Linked DNA regions of Bombyx mori. The protein of the gene in region 1 purifies or fractionates together with the protein of each later gene. This does not show direct contact. Links are inferred from orthologs where the notes say so. Each region holds a gene or a part of one and is shown on either strand. Other genes may lie near its edges.

Region 1 (3,278 bases):
GGCCAGTTACACCTGAATGCTCCTTGACAGAATTTAAAGATGGCTACTTGGCTATGACTGGCACAATTAAAAGAGGTAAGAAAAAAGGTCAGAATGTAGACGTCAAACTCAACATATCTCGAGAAGAACTTGAAATAATTGAAGCTACCATCGTAGCTGAAGAATACAACAAGATGGATATTTCAAAGTGCTCTATTCGTAATGGGCCTCATGTGTTCTTGTTTACTCTTATCTGCATTCCATTTGTGACATGTATCTCGGCTTTGTACTCATTTTATATGGGGACCATAACGTGGTATAACATATTCACACATATAACTGAAAATTTTAGTTGCATTAAAAAAGTTGTATTAGCTCCATTGATAATTTTGTGTTATCCATTTTTGATAGTGATCTTCACCATTGGCCTTGGATTATACGCAGGAATCGTACAGCTCACATTCAGCGCCGGTAACTGGTGGAAGGATGTATGTGATTTTGAGAAAGGCTACTATGGTTGGCTCTGTAATATGTTAAGCTTGTCAGAGTGTAGTCCTTATGAGGTTGTGGTCTTAATGGACGTAAAACCATAATGAATTTGTCTCTTTCTTTTATATGACACTGCCATGAATATAAATTTAATATTGATTATTGCTGTTATGAGCTGTATACCGTTTTGCTGACAACAATAATTCAAAGAAGCATTTTAATTATATAATAAAATGTAGTGTATTTCCTCTGCTCAATTGACAAGAAAAGTTATGAAATGCTACATATTTGAAAACCAGAAATTGGTGTTCATAGAATTGTCTTAATAAGGGAGCATATAATATTGTGAAGTGTTTGGATTGTGTGCGCTATAAGAGATTGGGAACAAGGAGGAAGGTAGTACTTTTATGGTAAATTAATTTGTATTTTTATATTAAATCTTGCTCAAGTTCTTCCAAAACATTCCATATAACCTAGTCAGTCTAGTCATTAGAATAGTGAATGATTTTTTTGCCCTTTTTTACAAATTGAGGAATATCACAAGTCTGTCAATAACTTTAATAATAAATATTGTAGTGTGTGATTTTTACATATCTCATATTATTTTAAACTTAATTATTAAGGTTAAGAAAAATGTAACTGTAGCATTATTGGCTACTGAAAATGCAAAAAAAATGTGTCAGGTAGTTTAATGTACAATATAAAATTATAAAAAGTTGTGCTTAGCAATAATTTATTGATTATTAAAACAATAAAAGTAACAATGCTTTAGCAAGTAATGTAACTGATTGTATTAAACTTTCTACAGCAATATAATATCAATGAAATTTTGTATTAAAGCATAATCAATGTTTATGAAGACTGATGTATTCTAGTCACTATTGTGGGCGTTTGTACTCAATAAACATATTTTACAGGAAAATCAATTTACTAATTTTAATCACTACACACTAAATCACAGCCGAGTCTCATGAAGTGTCTTTAGACGGGCCCTGCTCGGAGTTGGGTGATGTTTGTTTTAGTTCCGCATCTAATCTCTCCTTCGCTCTTACGATTTTCGATTGCAAATAAAACGAACCTCCTTTCGATTTGTCGTTTACGGCGAAAAGGTGTTCATAATTTTTACTAATTTTCTCGGGGTCTACTTTTTCTATATTTAATATTTGCATTGCTTCTTCTAAAGTCAACCCTGTGGAAGCATTGGCAGCAGCTCTCCGCGCTCCTTCGGGTCCACCGCCAGCCCTCTTCGCTGCCTCTTGGGATGCAGCTATTTCTTGTTTCAAGGCGCGTGCGAATGCTCGACCTACAACCTGAGCGCCCAAAACTATTATCTGAGCTATGTATTTAGCCATGTTTCATTATCAACCGTCTTATACAAGTTTTTGTCATTACGAAATAACCACAAAATAAATAGATTAACCGTCAATAGTGACTGACGGAAATACAGTGAAAACGCTTTTTTCAATGTTCTTCTCCAAATGACAAAGGGAATGTAGTCCATAAGCTTTAAGATTGTTGATTTTTTTCCCTTATTTGTACGCTGAAAAAAGATTCATTGCTGAATAAAATTAAAGCCATTTTTTTTATTTAATGTGCAGAGACATAGTTACAGCATATTTTTAAAATACAAAATTAAATCATATTTTAAATAATTGTCAAAATTGACCAAACTGTTAAGAAATATATGGTCCTCCGCCTTAAGCTTCTTCTTCTTCTTCTGTTTGATTTTGGCTCGCTCGGCTTGCGTATTTGCCACAAAGCAAAATAAACGCTTGGGAAACTAAGTAATCAAAAAATTTTTAACTGATTCGCATGGGAGAGATTAGGAAAGTTAGAGAATATATGAAGATACATATAAAATAAGATTAACGCCTTAAGCTTCATAAACTGGCTTAAAAGACTTTGTTTCCAAGTCAGTAAAATTTATAAAAAAAAAGGTTCATAAACATAACCTACGTTTTTTTGTAACTGTAACCGCCTTATTTGTTTTGTACATTTTATTAGTTTATAGTCTTTAATTAATTTGTTTAAACTATTGTTTGTGATTGTGTGATCGTTTAATTGCTTACTTTAAACAAAATGGTAAGTATTTGAATAAATAAATAAAACAATTCTCCATTTGTTTACAAACTACGAACTCGTGTCTTTATGTTTTGTTGGACGGTTAAATTTGAGGGGATTGGGTTCTGTAGGTGATGAGGGGCTATTTAAAAACACAACTGCTTCATTATAATTATATTGCAGATAGCTTGAACACTTTTACAGCATTATAAACTTATTTACTTTATATTTTTTTTATAAAACTATTACATGTTTCTCTTGCCGTGTCTAGATGAGAAGTATTGACATTTTCTTACGAGAATACAATCATCTGTTTTTTTTAAACATTTAAAATAATTCTAATATTCGAAATCTGTAATCATGTGTCAAGTGTTGCCTGCCATTACATTTATATACAAACTCCAACATGTTTAATAAAACCCAAATTAATTTATTTCAAACCTTGCAAATTTTAAACGCTGTGATTTCGTTACCCATATATATTAAAAAAACAATTTCTTTCACAAATTGAACTGTTCTGTCCTACAATTATCTATACTTCTATACATTATAAAGAGGAAATATTTGTTTGTTTGTCTGTATTGAATAAGCTCCGAAACTACTGAACCGATTTGAAAAATTTTTTCACTGTTTGGAAGCTAGACTATTCCCGAGTGACATAGGCATAATCTTTTTTTGAAAAAAATTTGGGATCCTTACTAAAACTCTAATAATGTAACCGAAGGTGTAAAAAATTACCTAAAATATTC
Region 2 (3,940 bases), on another chromosome or scaffold:
TTACTGAGATTATATTTCATCCCATATCATCTCATCTCATCACATTTCATTTCACGTCATATTATCATTTTTCATTTATGAAAAAATATATACCGTAAAATGGGGCGATTAGGGATTGAGAGGCGAATCGGGAAAAAACCGGGAAAATCTTTCGATGCTCAATATTAGTTTTATATTCGTTGCAAAATCTTCCATTTTTTGTAGTTTAATAGTAGAATGTTGAAAGTTTACAAAACAACTCTGAATATGCATGATAATAGCTGCTAACTTATAAAAAATCACGTTTCAAATTAACTTCCTGTGGTGGTAATTATTTTAGTGCTAGAAACTTTGCTCTCTTTTATTTATTTGATAATAATAGAAGACGACTGTGATTTATAAACGTTATTTAGTGTTTGAACCATCATATATATTAAAGGTAAGTCTCAGTTGTTATTGGTTTTAATGTATTTGATAAAATAAAAATACATGTCAAAATCTGTTGTTTTTGGGGATATTGGGGACGTCTTAGGTACAAATAAAAACGAAAAAAGGGTCAATTGGGATGAGAATACGTGAAATGGAAACGACCTAAGTATAAATAGGTACAGGTTTGTAGGGTTGTCTATGTAGTTATAACAATATTTTTTAAATTTGTTGGTAAAAATCTGGTTTATTCATGATGTTTTTGTCTAGAACTTTTATTCAAAATTATCAATGTGTTATTTTATTGTTTGGTAAATATTTATATTATCAGTTAAGTATTGTTTTCTATTTTTAGATATGCCTCGCGTGTATCTATCAAAGAGTGCAAAGCCTCATAAGAGATATGATCCCTTAATATTAAAAACAGCAATAGAAGCATATGAAATTGGGAATAAGTCTTTAGTTGAAATAGCTAAGCAATTTAATATAAGTAAGTCGATTTTGCACAGACATGTAACAAGAACAATGAAATCTCAAGGTGGACAAAAATGTCTAAGTACATACATACATACATAATAAAATATTTAATATTTGTTCAGAGTGGGGGAGAGGTGACATCTCCCATGTACTTTTTTCAGCTTTTCAATATTTTTTATGCAACAAAATAAATTAATTTAAACCCTACAACCCTAGCAAATTTCTCATTTCGTCCCAATTAACCGCTATTTCCGGGTAAATAGGGATTACACCTATTTTTGCTTTTTTTGCTTAAACTGGAATGCTAGTTGCGTAGTTTTAAATTGGACAATAATGATGCCCCCAAGACTCAATCATTTTGATCCTGATATAGCATTATATACATCAACAACTACCTTAAAATTGGTCATAAATTTGGAATTTGTCCCTAATCGCCCCATTTTTCCGGTATATACAAAAGATTAGGCTGTATGGTCTGACACCGTGGCCTTTCCAGTTGGTAAAATAAAATTACTACTACTTTATTTTTCTAAATTGTGTCTAGCATAGATTATTTAGAACACTTATTAAATGAGTGTCTAGATACGAAATTGAAAATTGAAAATAACATTAACTCACTCAGTGATTTGTACACACAAGTGATTATGAATTTGTTTGTTATCAAAACCATTTAATACGCAGGTTATTATGGTAGGTTATAAAATAATCTTATAGACTTCAAATTCCAAATAGATAATAATGTTTTTTTCATAGAACATCCCAACAATATAACGTTACAGGATATCTGATATATCTTTCTTAAAAAGGGGGTCTGAAATTTTTTCTTTGGGTATTGGTTACGTTGTCCCCTTTATTGCATTAATAATAAAAGCAACATTAAATGAACAGCAGAGCAACTTTTCATCCAGCTTTCTGACACAACATAACCCTAATTTTACTCACCTGTGCGCCATTCAAAAACAAAGATTTTGAGATTCGAAATAATAAAAATAATTAGTACCACGCATTTAGTACTTAGGGTATCCAATTACTTTTCAGGCTAGCTCAATAATTCTGGCAGGTCTTGGTATGGCAGCGGTCGGTTTCGCCGGACGATATGTTCTAAAGCAAATGCCAAACGCTTCAATGAAATTTGCCGAAGCAGTGAAGAATTTACCTAAATTCGACTCTGAAACATTAGCAAATTCTAAATATTACAAAGGTGGATTTGAACCAAAAATGACGAAAAGGGAAGCGGCTCTTATTTTAGGCGTAAGCCCCACAGCCAGTAAAGCTAAGGTGAATATTTTTGATTGTCTTTAACCACCTTATTTGACAGCAAGTGGTCATCTTTAGTCATAGATACACTCGGGAGTGGTAAACGGTAGAAAGGGCTAGATAGGTCTTTTTTGTCCTTCAAACTGGAACACATCAAACTTTTATGATTACAAAAGAAGTAGGAGCATACCTTATACAGCGCTAAAAATGGCTAAAGCCCTGCTGACACATGAGGGCCCTACTTCCTAGCAAGTCTGTACGTGAGCAGTGAAATCTATCCAGGTGTACAAGCTAATATTTATGATGCACACTTCTTCTCCTCCTTTTTTTCCTACTACCCTCTGCTGGGGTGTAGGACTCGAATCAAATCCTTCCATTTACATCGGTCTTGGGCAGTCTATACATATATTTAACATCTGCATAACTTAGTTTTAATGTTATTGTTAGCTGTAAATTGTTGTATTATAACTAATAACATCTGTAACTTATAAAATGGGTAGTAAAATTAAATAAAACAAGATCAAAAATGTTTCCTTAGCTAGACAATGTTTATAAGTACATAAAAAGTACATACATTCACCTTAAATTCCAATCAACTATTAATTATTAGTTTTTCCTTGCTTAGATGAGTCAACAAGCTCATGCTCCAAGTTGTTTTGAAGCTCCATACATTATATGTATCACAGTGTGAATACTTCCTCAAATATCAACCTTGCAGTTGAAGTCTCAATTGAATTGTATAGGTTGTTAACTTTGTCTAATTTAAAACATTAAATATAGCGATATGAAACATATTTTTCCAGTGATTATAAAGAATACATATTTGATTTTCAGCTATAAATATCATGGTCACATAAAAAGCCCTCATTTAGATATTAAAATATCTTAATAGTAATTGTACAGTTTATTTCATTCACAAGTTTCTTTTTCAGATTCGAGATGCTCACCGTAAAATAATGCTATTAAATCATCCTGATAGGGGTGGGTCACCCCTCATAGCAGCAAAGATCAATGAAGCTAAAGATCTACTTGAAAGTGGAAAATCATAGGCACAACAATATTTTTTGTAAATACGAAAGTTTTGCAGACTTAGTTTTGATTGTGATCATTTTGTGTCTAGATTTAATAATGAATTTAGTATTAACAAATGTTTAGTTATTTAATTTTTAGTTGCATTACAAATGCAGCTGCTAAGTAGAAATATTTTTCAAATTACCATGGTTTTTTATTCTTAACCTATTTCATTGAATTTTCTACATATAGTGCTCATTTATATGTATTATGCCATAAATTCGTGTGTGGCGGGTAGCCATCACACAACGCAAGGTAATTGACAGATGCCTGAATCTCGCTTACGACATTTTCAAGATAAAGCGCATATATACAAGTTCCGAATAACAACATTCGGACGTCATCTCGGATCCTCCCGATCCACTAACGGTGCTTTTAGGTACTTCAAGCACCGGTCACCGTTCTCGTCGAACCCGTCGCTTGCGACGAAGGGCTCTACGAGTAAATTAACTCTCAGACACAGCCCACTGAGTTTCTCGCCGGATCTTCTCAGTGGGTCGCGTTTCCGATCCGGTGGTAGATTCTGCGAGGCACGGCTCTTGCTAGGGTTCGTGTTAGCAACGTCATCAGGTTTGAGCCCCGTGAGCGCTCACCTACTAGCCACGGTTACGCTGAAATAGCCCCTAAGGCTATCAGCTTAGGTAGGAAAAAAAAACAACATTCGGACCGTCGGTCTACCGAGCAAATATCACCCGCTCGGTGGAAGATCTTCCCTTTGTCGTTAATCAGC

The links.
Region 2: the proteins of mitochondria-associated granulocyte macrophage CSF signaling molecule (region 1) and DnaJ domain-containing protein purify together in Homo sapiens (affinity purification with mass spectrometry; 3 studies listed by BioGRID and IntAct, with this or other methods). This does not show direct contact. The link is inferred for Bombyx mori from reciprocal best matches to the Homo sapiens genes PAM16 and DNAJC19.

The regions. Positions count from the first base shown.
Region 1 is NC_085113.1:10,832,136-10,835,413, forward strand, and holds mitochondria-associated granulocyte macrophage CSF signaling molecule, read right to left. Parts: upstream 1,866-3,278; 5' UTR 1,821-1,865; coding exon 1,437-1,820; 3' UTR 797-1,436; downstream 1-796. Other genes in the region: transmembrane protein 169, read left to right, coding at 1-572; DNA replication licensing factor Mcm2, read left to right, coding at 2,548-2,550. UniProt on the Homo sapiens protein: Regulates ATP-dependent protein translocation into the mitochondrial matrix. Inhibits DNAJC19 stimulation of HSPA9/Mortalin ATPase activity.
Region 2 is NC_085121.1:12,782,713-12,786,652, forward strand, and holds DnaJ domain-containing protein, read left to right. Parts: upstream 1-1,436; 5' UTR 1,437-1,569; coding exon 1,570-1,572; intron 1,573-1,920; coding exon 1,921-2,160; intron 2,161-3,071; coding exon 3,072-3,188; 3' UTR 3,189-3,289; downstream 3,290-3,940. UniProt on the Homo sapiens protein: Mitochondrial co-chaperone which forms a complex with prohibitins to regulate cardiolipin remodeling.